7 linked regions of the Daphnia pulex genome follow. The main gene of each other region encodes a partner of the protein of the gene in region 7 in a complex. Links are inferred from orthologs where the notes say so. Each region holds a gene or a part of one and is shown on either strand. Other genes may lie near its edges. The genes, in order: pre-mRNA-splicing factor CWC22 homolog, 116 kDa U5 small nuclear ribonucleoprotein component-like, pleiotropic regulator 1-like, RING-type E3 ubiquitin-protein ligase PPIL2-like, smad nuclear interacting protein 1-like, E3 ubiquitin-protein ligase RNF113A-like and BUD13 homolog.

What was found.
Region 1: BUD13 homolog (region 7) and pre-mRNA-splicing factor CWC22 homolog share a complex: the UniProt entries of both Homo sapiens proteins name them as parts of the minor spliceosome. The link is inferred for Daphnia pulex from reciprocal best matches to the Homo sapiens genes BUD13 and CWC22.
Region 2: BUD13 homolog (region 7) and 116 kDa U5 small nuclear ribonucleoprotein component-like share a complex: the UniProt entries of both Homo sapiens proteins name them as parts of the minor spliceosome. The link is inferred for Daphnia pulex from reciprocal best matches to the Homo sapiens genes BUD13 and EFTUD2.
Region 3: BUD13 homolog (region 7) and pleiotropic regulator 1-like share a complex: the UniProt entries of both Homo sapiens proteins name them as parts of the minor spliceosome. The link is inferred for Daphnia pulex from reciprocal best matches to the Homo sapiens genes BUD13 and PLRG1.
Region 4: BUD13 homolog (region 7) and RING-type E3 ubiquitin-protein ligase PPIL2-like share a complex: the UniProt entries of both Homo sapiens proteins name them as parts of the minor spliceosome. The link is inferred for Daphnia pulex from reciprocal best matches to the Homo sapiens genes BUD13 and PPIL2.
Region 5: BUD13 homolog (region 7) and smad nuclear interacting protein 1-like share a complex: the UniProt entries of both Homo sapiens proteins name them as parts of the minor spliceosome. The link is inferred for Daphnia pulex from reciprocal best matches to the Homo sapiens genes BUD13 and SNIP1.
Region 6: BUD13 homolog (region 7) and E3 ubiquitin-protein ligase RNF113A-like share a complex: the UniProt entries of both Homo sapiens proteins name them as parts of the minor spliceosome. The link is inferred for Daphnia pulex from reciprocal best matches to the Homo sapiens genes BUD13 and RNF113A.

Annotation. Positions count from the first base shown.
Region 1 is NC_060018.1:7,249,499-7,253,513, forward strand, and holds the start of pre-mRNA-splicing factor CWC22 homolog, read left to right. Parts: upstream 1-1,215; 5' UTR 1,216-1,344; exon of another isoform or gene 1,345-1,409; coding exon 1,410-1,567; intron 1,568-1,634; coding exon 1,635-2,139; intron 2,140-2,206; coding exon 2,207-2,335; intron 2,336-2,403; coding exon 2,404-2,749; intron 2,750-2,957; coding exon 2,958-3,397; intron 3,398-3,459; coding exon 3,460-3,740; intron 3,741-3,819; coding exon 3,820-3,921; intron 3,922-4,006; coding exon 4,007-4,015. Other genes in the region: ubiquitin carboxyl-terminal hydrolase 24-like, read right to left, coding at 58-294. UniProt on the Homo sapiens protein: Required for pre-mRNA splicing as component of the spliceosome. As a component of the minor spliceosome, involved in the splicing of U12-type introns in pre-mRNAs. Promotes exon-junction complex (EJC) assembly.
Region 2 is NC_060028.1:8,367,501-8,371,780, reverse strand, and holds the start of 116 kDa U5 small nuclear ribonucleoprotein component-like, read right to left. Parts: upstream 2,801-4,280; 5' UTR 2,581-2,800; coding exon 2,260-2,580; intron 2,192-2,259; coding exon 1,867-2,191; intron 1,795-1,866; coding exon 1,670-1,794; intron 1,599-1,669; coding exon 1,351-1,598; intron 1,288-1,350; coding exon 1,125-1,287; intron 1,054-1,124; coding exon 918-1,053; intron 846-917; coding exon 168-845; intron 98-167; coding exon 1-97. UniProt on the Homo sapiens protein: Required for pre-mRNA splicing as component of the spliceosome, including pre-catalytic, catalytic and post-catalytic spliceosomal complexes. Component of the U5 snRNP and the U4/U6-U5 tri-snRNP complex, a building block of the spliceosome.
Region 3 is NC_060021.1:1,388,871-1,392,811, forward strand, and holds pleiotropic regulator 1-like, read right to left. Parts: upstream 2,649-3,941; 5' UTR 2,532-2,648; coding exon 2,523-2,531; intron 2,459-2,522; coding exon 2,352-2,458; intron 2,287-2,351; coding exon 2,144-2,286; intron 2,077-2,143; coding exon 1,957-2,076; intron 1,898-1,956; coding exon 1,713-1,897; intron 1,657-1,712; coding exon 1,507-1,656; intron 1,451-1,506; coding exon 1,256-1,450; intron 1,193-1,255; coding exon 1,074-1,192; intron 1,006-1,073; coding exon 804-1,005; intron 738-803; coding exon 546-737; 3' UTR 501-545; downstream 1-500. Other genes in the region: death-inducer obliterator 1-like, read left to right, coding at 2,983-3,106, 3,164-3,526, 3,595-3,941. UniProt on the Homo sapiens protein: Involved in pre-mRNA splicing as component of the spliceosome. Component of the PRP19-CDC5L complex that forms an integral part of the spliceosome and is required for activating pre-mRNA splicing.
Region 4 is NC_060022.1:781,495-785,789, forward strand, and holds RING-type E3 ubiquitin-protein ligase PPIL2-like, read left to right. Parts: upstream 1-1,495; 5' UTR 1,496-1,677; coding exon 1,678-1,709; intron 1,710-1,785; coding exon 1,786-2,005; intron 2,006-2,093; coding exon 2,094-2,403; intron 2,404-2,480; coding exon 2,481-2,626; intron 2,627-2,721; coding exon 2,722-2,845; intron 2,846-2,921; coding exon 2,922-3,070; intron 3,071-3,132; coding exon 3,133-3,284; intron 3,285-3,347; coding exon 3,348-3,537; intron 3,538-3,597; coding exon 3,598-3,740; intron 3,741-3,806; coding exon 3,807-3,903; 3' UTR 3,904-3,974; downstream 3,975-4,295. Other genes in the region: somatomedin-B and thrombospondin type-1 domain-containing protein-like, read left to right, coding at 203-332, 462-538, 639-853; eIF-2-alpha kinase activator GCN1-like, read left to right, coding at 4,138-4,152, 4,237-4,295. UniProt on the Homo sapiens protein: Has a ubiquitin-protein ligase activity acting as an E3 ubiquitin protein ligase or as an ubiquitin-ubiquitin ligase promoting elongation of ubiquitin chains on substrates.
Region 5 is NC_060018.1:419,648-422,495, forward strand, and holds smad nuclear interacting protein 1-like, read right to left. Parts: upstream 1,613-2,848; 5' UTR 1,557-1,612; coding exon 585-1,556; 3' UTR 501-584; downstream 1-500. Other genes in the region: biotin--protein ligase-like, read right to left, coding at 1-152, 221-366, 429-437; sulfotransferase 1B1-like, read left to right, coding at 2,217-2,460, 2,786-2,848. UniProt on the Homo sapiens protein: Required for pre-mRNA splicing as component of the spliceosome. As a component of the minor spliceosome, involved in the splicing of U12-type introns in pre-mRNAs. Down-regulates NF-kappa-B signaling by competing with RELA for CREBBP/EP300 binding.
Region 6 is NC_060022.1:4,929,451-4,933,147, forward strand, and holds E3 ubiquitin-protein ligase RNF113A-like, read right to left. Parts: upstream 2,258-3,697; 5' UTR 2,034-2,257; coding exon 1,866-2,033; intron 1,795-1,865; coding exon 1,602-1,794; intron 1,546-1,601; coding exon 1,321-1,545; intron 1,238-1,320; coding exon 1,054-1,237; intron 989-1,053; coding exon 649-988; 3' UTR 501-648; downstream 1-500. Other genes in the region: protein unc-45 homolog B-like, read left to right, coding at 1-33, 111-279, 364-470. UniProt on the Homo sapiens protein: Required for pre-mRNA splicing as component of the spliceosome. As a component of the minor spliceosome, involved in the splicing of U12-type introns in pre-mRNAs. E3 ubiquitin-protein ligase that catalyzes the transfer of ubiquitin onto target proteins.
Region 7 is NC_060019.1:12,606,623-12,609,942, reverse strand, and holds BUD13 homolog, read right to left. Parts: upstream 2,185-3,320; 5' UTR 2,162-2,184; coding exon 2,049-2,161; intron 1,947-2,048; coding exon 554-1,946; 3' UTR 501-553; downstream 1-500. Other genes in the region: glutamate carboxypeptidase 2-like, read left to right, coding at 2,669-2,729, 2,795-2,915, 2,992-3,283. UniProt on the Homo sapiens protein: Involved in pre-mRNA splicing as component of the activated spliceosome. As a component of the minor spliceosome, involved in the splicing of U12-type introns in pre-mRNAs.

The sequences.
Region 1 (4,015 bases), on a different chromosome or scaffold from region 7:
AAAATGTAAGTGTTGAAAAATGCTTTACATTGACATAATAGATGAAATAGGCTTTACTTCAGACACGGAAGCATCTTCGCTGGATCCTTTGGAAACACCAGCTACCTCTTTCATGTCAACATCGATGTTTAAGTCAGCAACAGGTCCATAAGATGACACTGACTGATCATTGGTGAGGATAGCAACTGCTTCATTTAGATCATTCTTGGCTAAACGTAAAGCTCGTTTGATTTCTCCGATGTCCGGAAATCCCATGGCCATTAACGTGCTGATATTTTCGTCTTCGACGTCCATGACGTCTTCTCTCCGGCGTTTTAAAATTTTTATTGTTTATCTGAAGAGGAAACAAATACAAAATTAGAACATATCACGATGCACGATGAGTGTATCCCAAGCACTCTGCGCATTTTTTTTTTTGTTTTTTTGTTATCTTACTACGATCACAAGAGGCACGAACTCCTTCGCGGAGCTTTTTGAAATTCTTCTATACACATAGGATAAACTGCATGGAGGAGTGGCAAACAAATGTTAGCGGTAGGCAGGCCCCTTGTCAAATGCGCCCTCCCTATTAAACCGTGGGCGCTGACATCTTTGACATGTTGCCAGCTCATTCATTCCTCTAAACAGTGGTTTCAGACGGATTCGACTTTTAGAAAAAATGCTTAATGATTTTTTACCACATAATTTCAATTGAAAGTATGAAATCTCTTTAACAAATCTTCGTGGCTGCCTGTTTTTATTGTTTCATAGCGGTTAGTAATACCTATTTTAAAACTAGGAACTCGCAGGACTAGCGAAAACATGCGAAAATATTTCAAAAATTGAAATAATTATTCTTTTAACGATCCTTTATAACTCTGATTTCACCAGTAACTATTTTAAAAATTCTACACGAAATACGAAGACCTGAGAAGGCTCAGCGCTTAACGCTGCCACAAAGCTGATAAACAATTTAAACAAGTTATCGAAAAAGTCCAAAAAGTATTTGATGGTTGCTCGCTGCTCGGGGCAGAATATTTATTCAATTATTCCTTTTCCAATAAATTTTAAACAAATTTTCATTAATGAGGAAGTGGTTGATTACAAGAAGATTCTTAATTCTTATTTTTTGTCACGTTTGTCTCTTTGCCTGCCTTTGCGATAAACCCGATAAGGCATAAGGCGACAAGCCGACAACCAATGAAATCGAACAAGCTGCCCAAACGCAGGTGGCGCATTAGTGGTAGAATTGTAAGCAAACGGCAATACCGCAATATGGCAATAGGCATTAAGCCAAGGAAGCAAACGTAAAAAAGCAGTTGTTTCTCAGCGTGTTGCGATTGCAATTTTCTATTCATCCAAACAGTATAACATCTGTTAAGTGATATTTTCAAATTAATTTCCCTTCATCTGTCACAATAATCCTTCAGATGGAAAGTGTCGTCAAAGCTGTTGGTTTACCCGTAAATTTCTTAGAAGAAGTCGACGATGATTTGGAAGATGAACGAGACGAAAAAGCTCCAGCAAAGCCCGATAGCAATATTCGGAAACGACGGTATAGTTCAGAGGAGGAATACAGAAGAGAAAGGTAGACAACTGTACCAAAAGTGTTACAAGTAACAAATTAATTTACTTCATATTCATTTTTTTATCAGGAAAAAAAACTATGAAATAGGCACACGCTATTGGGGAGATGAAGGCCCTAGAGATAACTACACACAACATTCAAGAGAACAAGATCAACATTCAAGAAAAAGAGAAAATCAATTGAAAAAGGATGACAGAAAAACTAGTGAACAAGGTCCTTTAAATGAAGAGGATACTAAAGAGCCTAAGAGAGTTAAAGAAATGGATCCAGTGCTGACACGAACCGGAGGAGCTTACATTCCTCCTGCCAAGTTAAGAATGATGCAAGCCCAAATAACTGACAAGTCAAGCTTAGCTTTTCAGCGTTTATCTTGGGAGGCTCTCAAAAAATCCATTCATGGATTAATCAATAAAGTCAATGTGTCAAATATCCCATTGATTATAACATCCTTGTTCAAAGAAAATATTGTTAGGGGACGTGGTCTTCTAACTAGGTCCATCATTCAGGCACAAGCTGCATCACCAACATTTACACATGTCTATGCAGCCCTTGCTGCATTAATCAATTCCAAAGTATAAACGTGATTTATATTAATTCATGTATTTAATTTAATTCACATCACATTTGTTGATGTTTCAGTTTCCTAACATAGGTGAACTGCTATTATCTCGCCTTATTCTTCAATTTCGCCGTGGGTTTCGTCGAAATGACAAACAAATATGTATGAGTTCGACAAGATTCATAGCACATCTGGTGAACCAACAAGTGGTAATATTGAAATTTTGCTCTCATGTTTTGTTTTTCAAATGCACTGAAAATTTTTCTTGGTATTTTAGGCACATGAGCTTTTGGCTCTAGAAATTTTAACTCTTCTGTTAGAAAATGCAACTGATGATTCAGTTGAAGTCGCGGTTGGATTTTTGAAAGAATGTGGTCAAAAGTTAGGTGAAGTCTCCCCTCGAGGATTAACTGCTGTCTTCGATCGCCTCCGTCATGTTTTACACGAAGCTGACTTAGACAAACGCGTGAAGTACATGATTGAAGTAATGTTTCAAGTACGAAAGGATGGCTTTAAGGACAACCCTGCTATCGTGGAAGATTTGGATTTGGTGGAAGAAGAAGATCAATTCACTCATTTGATGTCGATACAAGAAGAAGAATTGGATCCCCAGGATATGTTGAGTAATAAGTTGCTATTAATGGATTTAAAAAATATCTGTATTCCTCAATCTACCAAGTTAGTTTACTGGGCTTAAATTTTTATTTATTTTTAAAATAATCTTTGACTGTAATGAGCCCCAAGTTCCGTGCTTTTCTTAAACTGTTAATAGTAGATTTTATATGTCTATCTCCACTTTGATACCACTAACTGTTTCGCGTATTTTTGTAGATGTTTTCAAGCACGACCCGGATTATGAAGCCAACGAAGAAAAGTACCAAGCTGTCAAAACAGAAATTATTGGAGATAATTCGGGCGAATCAGACGGTTCTGGAGAAGAAAATGATGAATCTGATGGAGATAGTGCTTCGGAGGAGGAAGCAAAAGGTAAGAATAGCATATACTTTTACTTGGGTCGATTCAATTTGTATGTTTTTAATTTTGTTTTTTTAGAACAAGGCGATATTGTTGACGAGACGGAGACAAACCTTATTGCTCTTCGACGCGTTATTTACCTTACTATTCAGAGCAGTTTAGATCACAATGAATGTGCCCATAAAATGATGAAAATGCAAATGAAACCTGGACAAGAAACTGAGTTATGCCATATGATCTTGGATTGCTGCACCCAACAAAGGACGTATGAAAAATTTTTCGGCCTTTTAGCCCAGGTACGATTTCTTATTAAATAAAAAACTATTCAAGTATATCAATTTTCTTTTCGGTGTATTAGAGATTTTGCCAGATTAATAAGGCATACATACCACCATTCGAGCAAATATTTCATGATACATACGACACAATTCATCGGCTGGATACTAACAAGCTTCGCAATGTAGCCAAAATGTTTGCCCATTTACTTTTCACAGATGCCATCAGTTGGCAAGTGATGGCTAACATTCGACTAACTGAAGAAGATACTACAAGCTCTTCGAGAATATTTCTTAAAATTTTATTTCAAGAAATGGCAGAGTACATGGGTCTCAGCAAGCTAAATCTTCGCCTCAAAGACCCGTCAGTGCACCAACTATTTTTTAAACATCTTGTTTGGTTATACGTCACCAATTTAATTTTTTTAATATTTTCGTTTTAGGACTTTGCAACCGTATTTTGAAGGAGTTTTCCCTCGCGATGATCCTCGCAACACTCGATTTGCCATTAATTTCTTTACTTCCATCGGTCTAGGAGGGTTGACGTAAGTTTTTCTATCTCGTTGATAGATTCTTTAAGATTAATTAATAATTTTGTGTTGCGTTGGATGGGACGTTTCAATTATGTAGAGACGAACT
Region 2 (4,280 bases), on a different chromosome or scaffold from region 7:
ATTGTGATTTTATTCTTTTTGTTTGGAGTTTCGGCAAAACATTTCAGTGAGGACGTTTCCACGACCGTTTCGCAAAAAGACACCACAGGATCAGCAACTACAAGAAAAACCAAAGTGAATTAGTTAAATTAGAAGAATTAACAGTTGGGAAGAAATGAATGGCAAACCTTTAATGTCGATTTCCGAGTACATTTTCCTGAGATCGTGCATGACACAGTCCAGGTAAAGTTCGCCTGTTCCAAGAATAACGTGCTCGCCCGACTCCTCCACTCGCGTCGAGAGCAACGGGTAAGATTTGTTAACCTTACGCAGACCGTCCAACATCTTGGGCAATTCGCTGGGATTCACCGGCTCAACGGCAATTTTGATGATGGATTGCGTGTTGAATTTCAAGGGTCGGCAAATGTACAAGTCCTCGTCGACGTGAACCTGGACGATGGTCGACGTCTTGACCACTGAGGCATCGATCCCTTCGATCAAGACCCAACTGCCTGCCGTTACTCTATTGACTTCGATCTTGTAACGGGCCTCGTATATCCAAAGTCGACCGATCGTCAACACACGTGAATCTTCTTCGTCATTGAGCGAATAGTTTTCACCCAGGAGTCGGACGTTCTGGTGAGCGTGAAGGGTCCCACTCAGGACACGACCCAGGACATAGAATCCAGTGCAGTCCTCTGTGGGATACTGTTTGGTAGTATGGACAACCAGTTGGCCGTTGGGATCACAGTTGACCATGTCTTCGCCCAGGATGGACTCCAGGGGACCTGTGTAAATGTGTTCCACTTTGGTGCGAGCAGCCGTTACGGGCGACGGGACGTGTTTGACGCACATTTCCACGAAACCTACACACACCAGTCAAACATTGACATTTAAAGACCGTTGCTTCAATTCAACATACATTTTAATTGACATACCGCTGAAAGTGCCCAGGTAGCGACTGCAGACCAGTCTCAACAAGGGGCGAGTGTTTAACCGCTGTTCCTCGACAGTCAGGCGAATGCCAAGTTCGTCCAGCAACTGCGGTAGACTCGAATCCAAATCTCCCACAACCTAAACAAGCAAAAAATATTGGAAATGAATCAACTGTTCAAATTAACTGCAAAGTTGTCCTTGGTACATGCCTGGGCAAAGATTTTGTACAACGGCTCTAAAATGAACTCGATGAAACTTCGCTGAGCCGAGCTATGTGGCGGCTTTTTGGTGAACTTTCTCGTCTTGCTGTTGAAGTAAATGTCACCCCACAGACGACGTGCTAACTCGTTGTCGTTGATATCGGATCCGTATCTAAAATGAAAGAAAATGAAGTTTCATTTAAGACCGTCATTGCCATTGTGGACGTGTGCGTACGTGTCACTGTAAAGTTTGGCGAAGGATTTAAGGGTGAAGCAAACGGAGAACTGGGCAGAAGCAAAGCAGACGTTGCCCAACAAGGGCGACACGAATTTTGGATTCTCTTCGTCGCTGTACAGGCCCAAAAGACCGTTGATCTCTTCAATGATGTAGCGCAACTTGTAATATGCGTCCTGAGGTGGCAGCTTGAGCTCCAAAATGAGTCGATCGATTTTGTTGATGCAAACTGTGATGGCCATTTTCTCCTATGAAAGGACAGGGTTAAAAAGAAATTCTTGGAATAACCAAGTTGAAGTTTTTTTTTTTTTTTAATTACCTGGACGGCGTGCTTCAAGATTCGTTCCGTGTTGAGCATGACACCCTCGACAGCGTCGACAAAGAGGACGATACCATCGCAAAGTCTCAGGGCAGCCGTGACTTCATCTGAGAAGTTGACGTGACCTTTAAGAAACATCAAAATCGATTAAATACATTTTTCCCCCCCATTTTGCAAGTTGGAAAACTGTAATTTACCAGGTGTGTCGAACATGTTGAGGAGGAAGGATTTTTCGTTCAGGTCGGGCATGACCACGGTAATGGGCGTCGCTTTGATGGAAACACCTCTCTCTTGTTCAGTAAAGAGTGTGTCTGTGTATCTGACAGGCTTCTCCTCTCCACTGCCAGGTTTTCCCGTCTGGAGATCTGGGTGTGTTTGCATGAGCAGACAATCCATGAAGGAAGTCTTGCCATGGTGCAAATGACCAACAAGGGCCACTGAACGAATAAGTTCTGCAGAGTCCATGAGATCAGCCAAAAACTCCATGTTATACGTGGTTTCAGGGAGTTCTTGCTCAGCAACCTAATGAAAATGGGTGGAAACAGGTTAATCAACAAAATGAAATATGGCAGCGAAACAATTTGTGGTACCTGAAACTTCCTTCGTTTGACAGGTGCGATGATGGGTTCAGTCAAGGGCTGAGCATCTTCTTCCTGCACCAGTGTCTCCACACCAGGTCCGTAAACCTCCAACGCTGATGGATAGTATTTTTTGTCTTCATGCAAAACAATGGCCATCTGTGCGTCGCCATCAACCACCGTTTGATCCATGGCCTCTTCGGAATCATTGTCACCATAGTCTTCGGCTTCGTCATCGTGATCAGCCTCGTCTCCTTCCTCATTTTCGTCTTCATCTGACTCGAGTTCGGGTCCAATGTAATTGCCGAATTCGTCGTAGAGATCGGCGTCCATTCTTGACAGTCAACTGAGTCGTTTGCTGTCTGTAAATTGGGCAGATACTTTGGATGTTGTCGATCGGTATTCGGCTTAACCCAACACTCACAGTTATAAAGCTGTTTCAAAAGGGAATTTCAGAAAAGCCGGGCCTTTCAAGAAAATGCGTTTACTATGCGTACAGATTTGCACGCGCTCAAAACGAGCGACACTAGCGACATCTAGCGGGTGCCAATGAAATCTGAATTTAAGAACAGCGCCATCTACCAGCTAGCAGGTGGATTATGAGTGGCAAAAAAAATGAAAATAAAATAAAATGAATAAAATAAATAAAAATAAAAATAAATAAATAAAAATAAAATAAAAGAGAAAAAAAAAATTCACAGCGTAATAAAATGCAAATGGGAATCCCGTTGAGGGCGGGGTTTTCCCTACCCGAATAAGGAAATGTTTCTGGCGCTGTTTTTTTGCTTGTGCACTGGAAACTGAAATCTAGTTGTGAATTTATATAGATGACGTGTCAGTCGCTATCAGGTCGGGTCCACGACGGAAAAAAACATTTTGTAGGAGAAACAAAGTCAGTCGAACACGGGCGATAATATCAATCAAAGCGGGCGAAATAAGGAGTAAAATGCCGTCATGTTTTTGAATTGAATAACGGAATAAATCTCAGCAGTCGTCTGATGTCTACGCACACAGTGCAGAATTTCAGTTTTGCCGGGCGATGGAAGCCCCCTGGATGGGCAAGTGCCCTTATATGATTTATTGCTGCCGACTCGTATGGAAAGATATATTAGACGTCTTTATCTGCAGACGAGTCTACAGACGAGCGACCCCGATTTATATATTCGCTTGTTGGTTTGTTGTTGCCAAAAGGAAATCACAAAAAAAAAACCCAAAAAATACTTGGGATGATATGGGCAGATCGACAAAATCAATGCCGGCCATTCGGTGATGTAGACCAGCCCAGCCCAGCCCAACTAGAGTTCTCCTTCTGTCCATGGGTTCTCGGTTGATGGTTCTTTTTTTTTTTTTTATTCGGGATATAATCACCGTTATCGGCGATGCTTCGAGTTGCTTGTTCTGTTTTTGTTGTTTGCAGCAATGTCATCCATTGTGTAGGCGGATAGAATGTACCCGGTTGAATGTCGCTGCACACATTTAGACTTGGCCAACAGCAGCAATCGACTTCCTCCTCCTTATTCCTCGTGCGTGAATTTTCCGTGGGGGTGTCCAATCAATAGCCCGACAGACTCTGACTGAGATTTTTTTTTTTTTTGGTTTGTTTTGTTTTTCTCTTTTTAAATTTCTATCCATCATCTTTTTTGTGTCTGCGGGGGGGTCACTATACTGTCCGGTGTGCATTGCCACGGCGGTGTAGTCTGTCGGGAGTCAAGGCTTAATGGATCGCAATGATTATTGGACGGCATTCATTACTACACAATACCCTTCGACATGGATGAAGCGATTGTAGTTCACTGGACTCCTGGACACATTAGACTTACGAAATGATTGATTGTTAATCAAGTCTCGTGGTGATGACGGAATGTTATTAGACCTCGACATTGGTCGAGCCAACAATCTCCACCCCAATTATAAAATTCGGCAACTCAGACATCGGTCGGGATTCATTTTGGCTAGACGCGAAAAAAAGACAAAAAGAAAACGTTTAGACATTGGCCGATTGGTGATGGAACAAACAACAACAACAACAGCGT
Region 3 (3,941 bases), on a different chromosome or scaffold from region 7:
CAGGGTTCTCGGTTTCCCTTCCATTTTTCCCGCCAAAATACAGTGTTTCAAAATTTAAGACCGCGTGAAAACGTGAGCTTTGTAAATTAAATAATTAAATGTTATGCAACGAAGCAAAAGGTTTTCTTTGACTAGTCTTAACATTTTTTAACAATATTTTTTCTAACTACATTTTGGGATGAATTGAAAACCAGAAGATTTTTATGTACTCGTTCTTTACGTGTGGCATTTGGCTGCTTGTTGAAAGCTAATACGTTATCACAAACAAGGAGTGACCCTAAATTATTCTCAAGTAGGTATTCTAAATTGCTAAGAACCTCATCACTATTTGATTGCCTAAAACATTCACGCTGAAATCAGTGATTATATAATTGACAAGCTAAAGCTATCCCGACTCGGGATAGCTTGGGATTCCCGAGCTATCCATAATATAAATAATCCATAAGCGCATAATAACTCAGCACATTACTGAAGTAATAATACAAGTTTGCGCCAACAAATCGTTTAAAAATCAAGTTGTATTGTACGGTACAGGAGATGGCGAGTTAATAACGACGCCGTTTTAATAAGTCGGGCTTCCAGTTGATGGGGTGTGTCTCTTCATTAGCTTCGTCGTCCTCTTTGTAGATTTTGATAGTTTTATCTGCTTCGGCCGTTATGAGACGTGAACCACTGTGGTCAAAGGCCATGGCAAATACTCCAGCTTCACTATCCATTGAGCCTGGTTGCACGGGGGCCTTAAATTTGAATAGGAACAGTTAAAGAAACGTTCAAAACACAGTTTCAACTAAATGCATTTATACCTGTGAGCGCTGGAAATTGTATCCAGTCTTGAAATCCCAGAAGTGGAGTGATCCGTTATCAGCACCCGATACCATTACGTTGTCAGCATTGATGGCAAGGCAATTAAGAATGGCATTGTGGCCCGAAAGATTCTGAATAAACTTGCCTTCGGGGCACTTCCATTGTTTGATATTATCCGGCGAGGCGGATGCAAACATGTAGCTGCAACATAATTTTTTAAAATTAATTGTACATTCAATGTGTTGTGAAATAATGGGTTAGCTTCATACAGGTTAGGGTGCATTGCCACTGCCCGGACACTTTTCTTGTGATTCGTCAAAGTAGCCATTGATCTGCCAGCCGCCAAATCCCATAATCGAATAGTGCTGTCATGACTACTAGTAATAATCTATGGTTTCGAAAGGTAAAATTAAAATTCTGGATTATGAGTGTCGAAAACTGCTTTGAATACTTGAGGTTCGGCTGCTTGACAAACAACTGATGCTACGGTGTTGGTGTGGCCAGTTAGGGTATGAATGTTTGCTTTGGATCGCATGTCCCAAACACGGGCAGTAGAGTCACGACCACAAGTTACTAAAACGTCGATGGTTGGATGAAGGGCCATACTATAAACGGCACTCAAATGGCCGTGGTAGTGCCGGATAACCTGAAAAAGATTTTGTTAATATTTCTTACACGGTAAATTGAAATGGTGATGGCTACTTTGTTGTACTCCAAATCCCAGCATTTCACTTGTCGATCTTCACCAGCACTGAAAAGGTACGGATGTCTTGGGCTGACTTGAAGAGCACGGACGGTGCTGACATGGCCTGTAAGCGAAAGTTTCAGCCGTCCAGAGGCCAAATCCCAAATCTATAAGAATTTCAAAATGAAAAACTTGACTCTTATAAATGTAAGGAATAAATTACCTTAATAACTCTGTCAGCAGATCCTGTGCAAAACCATTCATTCGTAGGATCAACAGCTACACAGCGTACCCAACCAATATGACCACTGATAACACGACAAAGTTTCCATGGTGGATGCCACTGTGGCTTGGGCATTGTTGGGGCTTTACGGGTTATTAAAGATTGTGTATTGTTTGTGGGTCCACCTAATAAGATTCTTTTTTAGTAAATAGATGGGAAAACAATGACTGCATATTTTTCTCACCTGCAGCATAGCCTGGTATACCAACAGTTGATACATTTGCTGAAGATTGTGGCATCTGATGTCCCCCGATTGTTCCTGAAGGCATAAGAGCCAAAGCTTGGCTGGTCTCTCCATCTTGTTCTGTAAAAAAATAAACATTCCACTTAAAAATACATATTTCCAATCAATATAGGGGAAAATAAATTACCAGATTTGTTAGTTAGAGCAAGCTGTCCTCCAGGGTAATTTACCGGAAGCCCTGTTTTTTTCGCTATCTCTTGTTGTTTCCTGACCAGTTCAACTATTGGACCATACGTATCTTTAGCTTTTGATGATCGCCAGGCAGACACTCTAGATAATCAAATAGAATTGAGTTACTTAATACGTTGAAACAATGTAAAGTTATTTCAACACACGCTTTTTGATCAAGAGGAGGTAGACTACCCTCTTCTGACAGAAACATGTCGTGGGTTCTCTTCAGTGATCGAAACACTAGCGTATGCACGGAATGCTTCTGAATATCCTGTAGAGATATGAAATTTTGTAAATTAGAAATTGTTCATAATTTTTTTAATTGCAAAATTTACCTCTCCCATGATTGTTGTTATATTGTAAAAACGAAACCAAATCAAAATTTACATGAGGTTTGTACTCGATTGTTGCCGGCGTTGTCTAACGTACTGATCAAATCGCCATCTGTTAGTGACTAACAGAAGATGTAATTATTCACGCCAGATGGCTTCTATTGGAAGCGTCGCCGGCAACATGGCACATTGAAATTGATTTATATAAAAAAAACGCAAAATGGCGGCATCTAGCCATGAGTCGGCTTGGTGTTTATGTGTATTTTGATGCAATCAGGAGTTTCAAAGTTTGTCAACAAAAAAGTTTTGGGCTTGTGGTTGCCCATAGAATCGGGTGAAGTTTTTAGTGGCTTTGGTTTGAACTTTGATAGTGGGCCGTTCCGAGCTGGTCAATAAGTGACGCGTTTTGGATTACTCGTTTACTGACATTTAGATACAAGTGTGCTACAAATTCGACAACAGCATGTCGAGTACTTTTGTGGCAGATACCACAGACGATAGCTCCTCTGCTGGAAACACACTAATCATTATTGTTGATAATGACACTGGTGACATATCAGTTGATCAGGAAACACTTCAACTTCTTAGTAAGTCGTCACATTTTGGAGGGAAATCATGTTTTTATTCATTTACCTTATTTTCAGGCTCTCAAGAGAATACAACTCTAAGCGTAGTTAGAGTCAATGATGTTGCAGGTGACAGCAGTACTGATGTCAACATAACTGTAGAAGAAGATTTCAACCCAGTCTCTAGCCCTGTACTCAAGGAAAACGAGGAAGAATTGATGGAAACTGACCAGGAAATTGCTCAAGTTAATGGAAATGTCAAAGCAGGGCCAAAAATTAGTGAGCAAGTTTTAGAAACAACAGATCCACTCTTAGCTCTTGATCAGGAAGAGATCGAGAAAATTGAGCATGCATTACAAGCAGAAGCTGGGGCTTTTTTCAACAATATTCTCCCACCAGAAGCTGGTCTAGATGACCTGCTTGATCCCGAACTTACAGGAGGTTTGCCAAATAACTTTGTGTAGTAGTAGTAAGTGTATCTAGATTATATTATTGTTTTTTCTATCCAGCTCCGGATGACACTGAGGCTGTTGCGTCCATCTCACTTGACCATTGTTATTCAGCTGCGCATGGCCCGGCAATTAGTAACTCGAGAAACGCCGACAGTGCGATGAGTTCTGAAGTTGATAGTTCTGATAGCGTTTCGACGGGTATAGGTGGTGGTGGTGGATCAACGCGCCAACCTTCACCTAAGCGGCGTTCCCAACGCCAGATTGACCGGCAAGAAATGGAGCAATTAAAGAAAATCCGAGCAGAAAATGAGGAACTTCTCAAAAAGGAGAAGGAAGAGATGAATCAGATCCAACAAGTCAATACGCCTAAGAAAGAAGCCGAGGCGGAACCGGAGGAGACTCTC
Region 4 (4,295 bases), on a different chromosome or scaffold from region 7:
TCCATCTTGTGGGTGTCAGACGGGCCGAGAATAATAAGGGGGAAATCATAATAAGTTTGGGTCAAGAATACAAATGAACCGGAAAATTCTGTCAATGGAGTATACCTGTCATATAATAGTTACCGCGGCTATTGTTCCAACATTTTCTTAACTAACATTTTAAACTTTTTTTGTTTTTTCTATTGTTGGACGTCACGGACAGAAATGGCTATGCTGTTACCGGCTTCGTTTGGTGCCAGCCGCCGGATGAACGACAGCCACGACATCCGCAAGAATCTGCGCTTCCGCAACGCTGAGCTCGCCCAGGAGCACCCGGAAGGTTCCACCAACGAGTGAGGATACATACCTATAAACAATCAAGCCACAAAATTTAAGAAATTTTCGACACCAATGATTGCTCTTCAATTGGACGTTGAAAATTGGCGCATACATGTTGCAATAACACTTCCGTCTTTATTCAGTTACTGCGTGACATTCGAGCTGACCAAAGTGTCCAAGGCCTGCCACAAAGAGAAAGTGTTCAACTCTCTTACTGACGGTAATTGACTTCCGGAATAATAATATCCGGATGGAAATATCATTTTTCAAAAATTGTGTTTTGATACATTTATTTTATTTTATTCCTTTTCGTGGTTTAGGCGGCGTCGTCTGTGTTCGATGTGAACACAAGGCTACTCGTGACTATTTGGGAGGCCGTTGCGGTGGTCACGGAGTGCCGGGTAGAATTACACGCTGGACATCGCTGACCAACGTCGAGTGCCATGGCAAATGGCTCAGACGTCCGGATGAATCTCACGAGGTTTCCAGCTCGACTTGTTCGTGCGACGAGGACGCTCTGTTAATTTTCGTTTAGGTCTCAACACAAGAGACGCAAACTATAAGGAAACGAACAAGGAAGAAGATCAATTTTAAACAAAATCTCCTTAAATTTGTTATGCTACCACATTAATTATTTCTATTTTTTTTTCTTTGTCTTTCGAATCATTCTTTTTTTTTACCTAAAATATTCGATCTGAGGGTGGTTTAATTAAAAAAAACGCGAATGAAACGAGCGAAAGCTAGAACAAAAAAATTAACTGTCGACCCACCCATCGAGTTTAATGCGAGTGTGAAAATACACAGAAAGGGAAATTTCCATAGAACCAATTTATTCACTTAATCTTTTGTTTGCTGTCAGCTGCCTAGTCTATAGTGGAGTCTAGCAATTATTATGCATTGTTGACTTTCATATCGCTTAGGCTTAGCCGTCTTCTTTGAATGGTTCCTCTTAATTATCTTATCTCGAATCATTTTGAGGCTTTTATGAAGGTCGATCCTGGCCCCCTAGTGGCTGAACGTCCAACGACCAATATTTCATCATTTAATTTGGCCAATGAAATTCTTGATGATGTGATCGTTGGATGTTATTTTTCGTACATAAAATTTTTTTTTAAATGGTAGAACAATTCAATAATCGTTATAAAAAGACAAAAAGTTTAAAAGTTTAAGTCGAGCGGTTGAAGCTTGAAGGGTAAGCAGACGACGTTCAAGACAGTGTGCCAAAACAACAAGTCGGTTTATTAGTCGTTTGGCGTTCTATTCCATAAACTGAAAAAAGTTTGCTCGATTTTAATTTGTGTATTTCACAGAGAACTTTGATACTGTTTTTCTTCATCAAAGCGTGAAAACTATCTGAAAATGGGAAAACGACAACACCAGAAAGATAAAATGCAAGTTCTAAGATATTTCAATTTGAATGATATGTTTAGTATGAAAACACTAACTAGTTTACTATCTTATATTTAGGTACTTGACAAGTACAGAGTGGAGCACATTGTATGGTGGGAAGAAGCCTGTTAATCCAAATAGTGCCAGTGCTTCATTTCGACGACTTCCATATGATCACTGTGCCTTGTCACTTCAGCTTTTTGAGAATCCTTTGTGTGACACTGAAGGAAATGTTTTCGACCTTCTTGCTATAGTTCCATACTTGAAAAAGTATAAAACTAATCCAGTAACAGGAAAAGTAAGTTTTGCTTATGGGTATTGCATGTTTGCTTCATCCGATAAACTTGAACTAGAAAGGCATGTTTATGAGAATTTAATTTTTCTAGCCATTGGAAAGCAAAGCCCTTCTGAGGTTAAATTATCATAAAAATGCTGAAGGGGCATACCATTGCCCTGTATTGTTCAAGCAGTTCACAGACAAATCCCACATTGTGGCCATCAGAACTACTGGAAATGTGTTCTCCTATGAGGCAGTAGAGCAACTCAATCTGAAGCCCAAAAACTGGAAAGAGTTGTTAACAGATGAAACATTTGCTCGTCAAGACATTATCACTCTTCAAGACCCATCTCACCTAGAAAAGTTTAACATCGCTAAATTTTATCATGTAACGCATGACCAAAAAATCGAAAATGAAGGTAATTTGTTGTCTTATTGATTATAGACTTAACAACGCCAATTGATTTGCTTTCATAAATATGATTCTCTCTACTAGAATTAATAAGGGCCAAAACCGATCCTGCAGCCCGTCTCAAATACATCAATGCAGAAACGAAGGGAGTTTTGGCAGAATTAGAACAGGAATACAAGGCACCTGAAGAGACTGTAACTGTAAAAGCAGTAGCTGATTCCATTAATGCGGTAATTTGATTCAGTTAAAGTTTTAAATTTATCCCTTTTATTTATTATTATTTTCGTTTTTATAACTTGTTTATAAAACAAAAAAAAACTATCAGGCTCATTATTCCACCGGGGCTGTCGCTGCTGGTTTTACTTCTACGGTGATGGCACCAGAAACTAAGCATGAACCAGCAATTCTCGATGAAAGTATCGTTCGATATCAGCGCATTAAGAAAAAAGGTTAAAGTAGTTTCTTGTAATGAATTCTTCACAAACCATCTAAATTTGTTTTTATTTCATCAATTTAATTTCTTAGGTTATGTTAGACTAGTTACAAATGTCGGGCCTCTTAATTTAGAGTTACATTGTGAAATGGTACCTAAAACGTGTGAAAATTTCGTCAACCTGTGCAAAAAAGGCTACTACAACAACACCAAGTTTCATCGGTCTATCAAGCATTTCATGGTACTGTAGATCTCAACGTGATCACGGGCTGTTACAGAGATTTCCTAACAAAAATTTTCCAGATTCAAGGTGGCGATCCCACTGGAACTGGTACCGGAGGAGAGTCTTGCTGGGGAGGATCATTTGAAGATGAATTTAAGCCGAATCTATCCCACACCGGTCGGGGTATTTTATCGATGGCGAACTCGGGAACCAACACTAATAAATCTCAGTTGTACGTTTAAATTATCTAGTTCTATGCATACATTACGCATCAATTTGATTATTACTCTTTCAGTTTTATCACCTATCGCTCGTGTAAACATCTGGACGGAAAGCACACAATATTCGGTCGTGTCGTGGGTGGAATGGAAACTTTGAGCGCTATGGAACGAATTGGTACTGACAATAAAGATCGACCCGTAGAAGAGATTATTATTGAGTCGTCACAGATATTTACAGACCCATATGCCGAAGTAGACGAAAAGGTTGCCGAGAAAATCAATTCAACCTTAGAAGCAAAATTTACTTTTGTTTTTACATTTTAGTTGGTGATTGAGAGAGCCGCAGCGCTAGAAGAAGCTGAGAGACAGTTGAAGGAAGCAAAGGCTTCCATCCCTAAAGCCCAGCTTAAGGTTTTCAAACAATCTGGTGTAGGAAAATACATCAACCCTAAAGCTTTCACCAACAAGTATATCTTTAATTTTCTATTAAATAAAATAGTTTCATTGCAGCTTATTATTATTTTTTTTTATAGACCAGCTGATTCGGCTGGAGAAGAATCCGGCAGTTCTCAACATAAAAAAGCTAAAACATCTGCTAACTATTCATTTGGTAATTTCAGTAATTGGTGACCTTCCCGGATATTGGATTATTCTTTGCTTACTTGTGGCTGATTTTTTAAAAATAAACTCTTTCTCGAACACTTGTTCTTATCAAATTGTATGTCATTTTTTTTACTCAATAATTCTGTAGCAATTAAAAATAAAAATCGAAAAAGGGGAAGGAAGGGTTCACAATTTTACTGACTTTTTTTTATATGCGACGGCAACGCAGCATTGTCCTCTCGTCTGCCAAAACGACACACGATGGATGACAAACCGGTAAGCAAACCACATTTATGATAAATAATAATTTGTTAAATTACGCGTTCAATAATCAATGTCTTTTGGTGATTTGTTTTCTAGTTAGCGAAAGCGCTGAAAGATTTACCCTTGAGGGTACAATCAGCCAGCTATCTCGAACG
Region 5 (2,848 bases), on a different chromosome or scaffold from region 7:
AAAGACATTGACCACCCTTCTTGATGTACTCTTCCAGCGGATCGTGCAAGTCATTATCAGACCATCGAGAAGCAAGTACTAGGAGGCTTGTGTTGCTTAGCCAAGCTTTTTTAGAACGAAATGAGAGTTCATCGAGATGGTAAAGGGCATAACTGTCAATCAATGTTACATTGTTTAAGATCAAGAATCCAGATATCAAATGTCTATACTGTTTATATACCAATCCGGCTCTAGTGTGGATTCAAAGAGGGCTCGATATTGCTGAAAAACTTCTTTGTCACTCGTACATATTAGAATGTTGGGCGGTCTTGCTGAGGAGGCCAGCAGTCGTTCCACAGGTCTCATGACACCAGCAATTTTGGTTACCTGTTACCAACTGGTTGTAAAAATTGCTTTAGTTATAAATTTGAATTAACGTGACAACTTACGAATAACATGAACAGCCCCACTGATGTGTGAAACCTGGAAATGAAATGAAAGAACACTTAAAGACGATTGAATACCTTTCGCAGAAACATTAAGTGTATTGCGGCGTTCAAAAAAGAAAATTGTTATGATACAAAACATTGCTGGTCACCAACGTGTCACTGCCCCACTCCCATATCGTCCAAACTAGCATCTGTTTTGCTTTCTTCATGAAGGAGAACATATTCGCGGGAACTGAAGCCAAACTTCACCACATCCTTCTCGAACAATTCGACGTAACGTTTGGATTCAATTTTTTGATTATTTACAAAAGTACCATTGGCTGCTTCCAGATCAATAATATATGGCCGGACAGTACGTCCTGCAGTTCCATCAGGCCGTTCGTAGTTTACCAACCGAAATTGGATCGCAGCGTGCTGTTTCGAGCAAGAGGGATGGTCGATTGGAATATCAGCAACTTTACGATCTCTTCCGATTAAGTAGGCGCTTTGACGGTGAAGGTACAACGTAGGCAATGCCTCTTCCCCTTTAAAGACGTAAAAACGCCACCGTCGCTTGGGAATTCTGGCTTCAGGTGGTTCACTGTATTTGACCACCACACCATTGAAAACATTCTTCTCTTCAGTCAATTTTCCTGATAGACCAAAGTTGGGTTTTTGCTTTTCAACGAGTGTTCCTTCTTCTTCTTCATCTTTAACTTGTTGGCCATACTGGTAGTTGGCTGCTTCAGCATCTTCACTTCGGGGGCTTTTGCGTCTCTGCTTAAAAGGTCTTGGTGGTCGATCTTCTGAATGTGGTTGCTCATGCCGTCTTGAAGGCCCTTCATTGTGTTGTGGACGTCTGAAACTTTGTTCATCATCACTAACTGGTTCTTTCTTGATTTTAACTGGAATTGGTGGGTCATTTCTTCGATTACTTTCTTTGTGTGAAACTTGTGAATCATGTCTCCTGCTGTCTGATTTCCGACTTCTTTCATAGTCATCACTTCTTGAATGGTAATGGTCGCTTCGTGAAGATTTTCGTGGTGGGGAAGAGTCACGTTCTTCACGACGTCTGTGAGTCTTGCCTCTTTCATGGCCTCGTTCGTGGGACCTTTTGGGACTCCTCTCGTCTTCGTTGTGCTTTACCATGGCGATCCAAACGAAATAAAACAAGATATGCACAAGTACTCTCTAATTACCTTAATGTTTCTGGCGTATTTCTCAAAAAAACGAGATCAATTCAATGTTTCAGTTTCAGTTTGATACAACTCGTTTCTCGGCTTGTCAACATGAAATGGTGTCGCAACTCGTAACCGTTGCCAGATTTACTTTCATCCACCACCTGTAAACGGCTAGCCGCTAGCGGTCCGCCGTCCGCGGACCTGCTCTCTGCTGCCTCACTGCCTGCTCTTTAATGTATTTATATTCTCATTTTTTTATGTAATGTTTTAGAAATTGAGTAATGCTTATGTATGCCAAATTGAGAATTTTTGTAATCGATTACAGCATAACATTTTCGAAATCAAAATTATGTTGTTAGAGAAGTATATTTTTCTTTTGCTCGTTGGGTCGTTGTAAAATATTTAAATAAATATTATCAAATATCTGATATTGTAATACATATTTACGTGGATTTAATAATTTTGCATTTGATTTAACGACGAAAACCAAATCGTTAAAATTTGATGTGGCACTCGCTGAGTCGCTGTTGAGTATAAAAAAGGAGGCCACGGTGTCATTCAGTCGTCGCGGTCTTTGTTCGATCCTTTTTGCCGTTGCGTTTTCATTTGTTGTCTGAGCTCTCGCACGATGACAAACCCCGAAAATCCTTCAGTTCCTCCCGAAGTTGTTCCAGAGTGGAACATAAAATTCAATCCTGTAGAAGTGAATGGAGACTTGAAAGAACACTTCACAAACTACGAGCAGCATGGACTGATGAAGAGCGAACCTGGTGGTTTTCTCTTAACGGATGAGTATGCACGCCATGCCAAAGAAATTTCACGTTTTCAACCAAGAAGCGACGACGTTTGGGTAGTAACCTTTCCAAAATGCGGTAAAATCCTTTTTCAATCATTTTTAAGATTTTTTTTATGTAATAGCTACATTTTTATAAAATAATAATTCGTAAAAATAAATATCCTAGTGGTATTTGTTTAGCAATTACTGCTATTACGTCACAATTTATTTCTTTGTCATCAATTTTTTTGGCCGTAGCCTTGAAAGTCTAGTAGCCAAATGGCAACCTTGTATTTCTCCCCGCCTATTTTAAAACACATAGTTTGAAACAAACAAATACAAATCTCTCGGATCTTGAAAGTGTTAACTTTTCGTATTCTCCCGCACATATAAAATTGATAACTTTGAATTTGTTTACTTAGGAACGACGTGGACACAGGAATTAGTGTGGATGATTCTCAACAATTGTGATCCAATTGGATCTA
Region 6 (3,697 bases), on a different chromosome or scaffold from region 7:
GTCAGTAAACGGGCTTCACGGAAAGTTTTCGAGGTTTGCCTCCATTCTTTTTAACTTTTTCCCTGGAATTGATTTTAACTTTTTTTTTCTCTTGTTAAATTTGTCAATAGGCGACAGAGTGGAAAGAAATCCTTTGCTTCCTACTGAGCAATACGGACAAAGACGTGCAATATCGAGGAGCTGTTATCGTCAAAAACATCGCCAGTCATTCGAAAGAGTTGGCCGAAAAGTTGTTGCAACCTGAGGTTATTATGGTCCTGGAAGTTCTCACCAAATTCGGTAAAGAGGATTAAGTTAAAACTTTTGACATGGTGCCTTGAACTAATCTTTTTTGTAACCCATTTGAATCCGCTCTGCACACAGAAACACCTGAAATGGCCAAAATTTGCGACTGCGCCAAATCAACCCTGGAAATCGCCGAGCAATGGAAACTGATCGAGAAGGAGGACGACTCTGAAGATGAGTCTTGATAAATTTTAATGAAATGATTTAAACAAAAATTAAATTGTGTGCCTATGCAAATTCACTCGTTAAAGTTAAATACACTTTATACGTCAATTGAAAGCATTATTTAAAAAAGAAGGAATTACAAAATAATGTATTCTTACACGTGAATGGTAGGGGGAAAAAATAAAGATGATCTTATCCTCAATCGCTGTCATCATCTGAATCCGTATCGTTGGCCACGACTCCTTCGTCTGCGTAGTGAATGTGCTCAATCTCCGTAACGGGCTCCTCCACATCTGCTGTTGCTCCCGTAGGTTTACCAGTAGTGCTGCCAGACGGCTGCATAATCAATTCCAAGTTGTTGAGCTCCTCGTCGCTGTCTGCTTCCTTGTAAGTTTTGCCTTCTTCCTCCAACTTGAGCCGCTCGATGAGGCTCTTTGCCGGGTTAAAGACACCAAAAGTTTGTTTGCCGCAAACAAAACACCGCTGCGATTTGCGGTAATGTTTCAAGGCGCAGGCCTCGCAGAAATAATGCTTACACCTGCCGTGTCAAAATTTGCGTTAAATTCTCCTTCTTATAAATGAATAGGAGAGAGTCTTTATTACTTGGAGACAACGGGATGTTGGAACGACTCGCGACAGATGAAACACTTGAAGGGCAAATCTTCGTCGTCCGAGTGTATTTCATACTTTGAGTCGTCTTCGGCCGGCTCACCTTTTCCCCTTTCTTCTCGCTCCAACTGCCATCCGAATTTATAATCGGAACGGTCGTGCAAGAACTTACAACTGTCTAATAAAACACAGCAAAGCTTTATAAAAGTTCAACTGAATGATGATAATAACCCCAAAAACTTTTGGTTAGATTTTGAATACCTCCGAAACCGCAGAAACCCGTTTCCTTGTAATCTTTACAAAGATCTGGTTGGTAATCCCATCTCACTGTTGACCTGATGTTGGCTGGGGCTCGCATGGGGCCTTTTCTCACATTGGCAGATGCAGCATTTCCTTGGGCTGTATCTCTTTTCTCGTAGTACTGGGCATAGTTAGCAAGGCCACGATATTTCTTGTCATCTGCTTTGCCTTTCAGCTCCTGCTGGACTGTCAAAGAAACAAAACATTATTTTGGTTCATTTTAAATAAAAAAGTTGACCTACTTTGTAAAGATTTCTCAAAAATTGTCCTGGCATCTTGATCGACGGCAGTGTCGATCTGAACTGTGGAAGTGGCAAGATCGTCTTTCTTGTTCTCAGCACTTCTGTCAGACTGGAAGACGACTGTGACCTTTTCCTTGACTTCCTCATCAGAGCTGTTTTGGATTTCTTGACGGGACTTTTTCGTGGATTTGAACTGTCAACCCCAAAAGAAAAAAACACGATGAGAAACACAAATTCTTTTTGCAGAGACTTTCAATAACTCACAGTTTTAGCCGAAAGAAGTCCAGCCGATTCCTTTTTCCCCACTCGAGCAACAACAGTTTCATCTTCGCTGCTGCTTTTCTTGTCATCATCAGCTTTTCTCCTCATGGCGGCTCCTCCTCCTCTTCGTTTCTTGAATGTAAACGTGCAAACTTTATTGTCGTCGGCCATTTTTGTTTGTTTGTGGATTTTCTTGTTGGATCAAGCTTTCCTTTTTTGTATATAAAAATGTATTTTGACTTGTCAACAAACGAGAACAATAAAATAAAAATCCTTCCGTCTTCTCGTCGTCGGCTTTTCAAAAGGATTACCGGTGCACTGTTGTCTGATTCCTCTAATTGGGTTCTTGATGACTGATTGAATACGCAGCAAGGGATCTGCTGCAGATTTACATATATATGCACAGCAACAGAGACTAGTACATAGAGAACTATGCACACACACACACACAAAAGCTTTTATTATTGTGATCCAGATTTGTCATCTACGATGTCGGTATTAATGATCCGACCCCGAAAACCCGCTTGAGACTTTGAATATATCTTAACGTCATCCGTTTCTACTACTACTACTACGGGTTTTGCTATTTTGCATTTGTTTTGGAAAAATAAAATCGACATATCTTATTGCTTTACATCATTATTATTAGGCATCGTCGTCATTTCTTATGGTCTTCTTCTAATCATTTCCATATGCCTTGGTGATTTATTTTCCTTGTGCAAATGAAATGGATGGGGGGAAGAATCACGTTACTTAAAAATCTCTGGCGACTCGATTACACACAGGCAGTACAAAAAGGAGCATCCTTTCATTAATTAGTAGGTTCCCCTCTAATAATCTGGTGGCGTGTATATATGTATAGATGTGCTCGGCGCATCACAGAGTCTGAGGACCTTCTTCTTTCTTCTCCTCGAAATAATAATACGCACTATATACGCTTCTGCTGGCGATCAATTAGAAAAGACTGCCGAAGCTTTTAAGAACCTTTTCGCCACATATGACTGAATAATAATTCTATTTTCTTAATTCCCCTACCCAATTTTTATTAATTTTTTTTTTCTGGGTGGGGCGGCGGCCACTGAACTGTTATCTCCTCTTCGTTCGTCTACTTTTTTCTTTTTGCTGGTTTTTGGGGGCTTGTTCTCCGCGGGCCTCTTTCGTCTTTGCCCGATGTCGCGCTTATTATTTCTATATCATCAGCAGACTGCTAGCTGCTGGGGGCCGTTCGCTTGATGATTCCCTTACAGCGCCTTAATTAGCCCAGCACTTTTCATCAAGTTGAAATAATAAGGAACGCGCAGGCCAGAAAACCCGGCCGCAAAAGTGCACGAAGCGCTTCACCGTCCGATGAAAAGCTACTTGATCTCCATCCTCCGACTCCATTTATACACCTATACTGCACTACAATATCTATACCTATTCATTTAAAACAAAAAATATTTTTATTTCGCCGTACCGTATAAGTAATTTTTCGGTCAAACTTGTCGCTGACTGAAAAGCCCATCTAGCCAAACTTTGACTTCCTCCTCCAGCAGGATTGGCACATTGACTTATTGCAGCACAGTTTTGCAGATATACCGTTTCGTTCTATGCAAAGAGGGGAGGAGGCTATAAATAGGGACTCAATGATAGATACATGTTATGCATAAAGCGAGGGCCTATTTATACAGAAGCTGAATGATCCAGACAAGATATATAATATCCACATGCTACACTACTATACACGTATAAAAGGGGCTTTTGAGAGAAGGGCCAGCACGGCAGCAGGATCAATCCTTTACACAGCACACACAAGTTACGCGCGCGTTCTAATGGGGCTGCTGCCCTTTTATGAA
Region 7 (3,320 bases):
TAGACAACACGGACAACAGGGCACACCTGAAAACGGCCGGCCCACTTCGTGCCGTGACCTTCCTCCCTTCTCTTTCGACACACTCAGCCAAAGCGCCATCTGGCCATAGCGCACTCGACACACTCAACAGAAACGACCCCAACGCCTTTTCTTTCTTTTCTTTTTCTGCTGCTGAACAACAGAAGAAAAATGATTTGAAGGCAGCCAAGGCCGGAAAGGGTGTCATCTTCCGGATAGAATTTTCCGATTCAACCACGACGGACGATTCATGAATAGCCGCACCTCCTCTACAACATGGGTTGGGCAACTTTCACGAACTGCTGGTAGAGTCGCGACTCGGAAAATGTGCAAAGTGTTGACGCCATCCGCATGGAATTTCCTCCGCGCGCCTCTCGTTGAATCTGAAAAAAACCCTGCAATTTTGAATGTTGATGGATGGGCCCCATTCCGTCGAGGTAATAAAAAGGGAAATGTTAAGAACAAGGACAGGCGTCATTGGCTACTAAAAGTAATTGCATGGCTTTATTCAGTCAAGGTAAATTCATCATCGGAATCACATGTCGGATACACTCCATTTGTAGGCTTCCTCCTGAAGGGCCACGGCGTTGTTTTGTTTTTCAAAGTACATCTTCTCGTAGCCAGTCGAGCGGTCAACCCCGTCCCATCTGTAGCCGGGTAGTATACCGAAACGATTGGGAGCAGCAGCAGGGCCCCTGTAGACAGGTCTAGCGGCTTTCCCCTTGCCGTCACCACCGCTCTTGACCTTTTTCTTGGCCATGTAAGCAGCCATGGGATCACCTTCACGATCTTGTTCGCGTAACAACCTTTCCAAATCTTCGTCATCGGCGAAACGAGCCAGCGGTTTGGACATTTCGTGAATGGCTTCGGCAACTTGCGTCGAATGCGTTTCTCCTTGTTTAAGACCCTTGTTCCATTTTTGGTAAGCTTCTTGCAGCTTGGCAATCTTCTCGGCTTTTTCTTTATCAACCTGTTGCTTGGCTTCAATTTGGCGCAGCTTGCCAGCTCGGATGGCAGTCGTGGCGTTCTGCCCAGTGAGTGATTTGTCCATTTTGCGGAAGGCTTCCTCTTCTCTCTTGCGTAATGCATCAGTCTCCTCACGCAAAGCTCTGCCAGTCTGAAGGCCGGCCATCTTTCCATCTAGGGTTTTGGTCAGTTTCTCCGAAGCTCCTCCGCTGCGTGATGTTGATTTATTAGGACGCTCAGGGCTGAGGTCTCCGTCTGGATCTGGTTTGATGCGCATTTGGGCACCGGAATCAACGTTTTTCTTCCGCCGCGGAGGACTGAGATCACCGTCAGCATTTTGATGCTTTCTTGGTGGACTCTGGTCGGAATCGGAGCCTTTACGCCTTCTTAATGGACTTTGGTCCGAGTCTGAATCGTGTCGCTTTCGTTGTGGGCTTTGATCCGAGTCTTTCCTTGTTCTTCGAGGAGGACTAGCATCTGAGTCTGAATCGTGACGTTTTCGTGGTGGGCTTTGATCAGAGTCTTTTCTCGTTCTTCTAAGTGGAGATGGATCAGAGTCTGAATCATGGCGCTTTCTTCTAGGTGGGCTGGCATCTGAATCAGAATCGTGTCTTCTACGTGGAGGACTGGGATCTGAATCTGAATCATGTCTTTCTTTCTTCACTGTGATTGGTCGTTTCAAGGCAGTGGAATCTTTCCTTGGTAAGTGACTGTCACTTGAATCAATATCTCGATCACTTGATTTAGACATGGATTTTGGTTTGTCATTTTCATCCACACCAAGTCTCTTCCACTTTGAACTTTCCACAAAGTCTTGTTTGGTTATCATTTCTATGGAACGATTATCGACAACCCCAGCCACCAGAGGAGCATCTTCTTGGTTGTCAATTTGGTCTTCATCTTTCTCGTATCCTGCAGCTATCTTCCTCAAATCTATTTCTTCATCAACGATCTTGATGCCCCTAATAAGTAAATGAAAACAAATTGACTAGATTAAGAAAAAGCTTAAGTTAAAATTAAAAAATGATGTGTATTGTCTAAAGTTCACAAAAAGCCTGACTTACCCTTTGGCTTTCAGTAAGGGCCTGAGTTTCTTTTTCTTGACTTTATTTTCTTCTTTTTTCGAAGAGGACATGTACTTTTTCAGATATTCTAATTTGCTCATAGGAGCACTCATTTTTACAATAATTTCAGGGGAATATTTACAAACCGTAATCCCTCGCGTTTGTCAACGCTTTCACACGAAATATGAATACAAGCTCCACCTATGGTTAACGCGTGAAACTATACACCATCTATCGGGAAGTTTTCAAAATAAAAAAAATTGTTTAAAAAAAATAGATTTATGTAATAGCGATTTTAAAGAAATGTATTCATTGCCTATGGCGTTTACATTTTTTACAAGAGTCACCCGTCAGTTAAGCATGCGACCTGTCTTGTGTTAAACCACAAGCAACCGATGGTCTGGTTGGCTTGTCAAATCACCTTAGTTACTGTCCAGGTATTTGCGTGCCGCTGCATATGGAACACGCAATCTCGAACCCGACTTTCTACCCGCACTTCCCGTGCTTTCATTGTCATATTTTCAGCTATTTAATAACCTGTTTCTTTTCAAACCGTCGTTATTATTTGAGGTACAGTAAACGAGAACGGAAGGGTGTGGAGAAGTGATCGCAGCGAAACGATGGCGCAAAAACCCAACTGGATTTTAATTTGCACGGCTTCTGTAATTTGTCTTATCATAGGTATCGTAATCATTTGAAATGTTACTGTATGTGTTGGTTTGACTTCATCTTTCCACCTGACAAAGGAATTCTCATCGGTCGTTACGCTATCGGAAATGATAGGGACGACGTGTCGCCTCAGAAGGCGAAAATGTCTGCCACTTTGATGGAGGAGCTCAGTGCATCAAATATTGGCGAATATCTCAAGTAAGTCCAACATCATCGCTAATCAAAAGACAAATTTGATTCATTGTCTAATTAACTCCCAAAATGATTGTCACAGATATTTGAGCAGTATACCGAATTTAGCTGGAACTCCACAGGATTTGGAAGTGGCTAGTTGGGTGCGCGATCGTTTCGTCGAGGGAGGATTAGACGAAGTCCAATTGGTTCCTTACAAGGTGCTGCTTTCCTACCCAGACATGAGCAACCCCAATCAGGTCTCGCTACTCGACTCCAACGGCAAGGTGAACTTCACCACCTCAGGACGTCAGACGCCACTCTTTTCCAGCGAAGAATTCTCTCCGTTAGTTCAACCCAATTTTAACGCTTATTCAGCTAACGGAACTGTCGAGGTGAAATTAAATTTCTATCGTTGTTTTATTGATGACA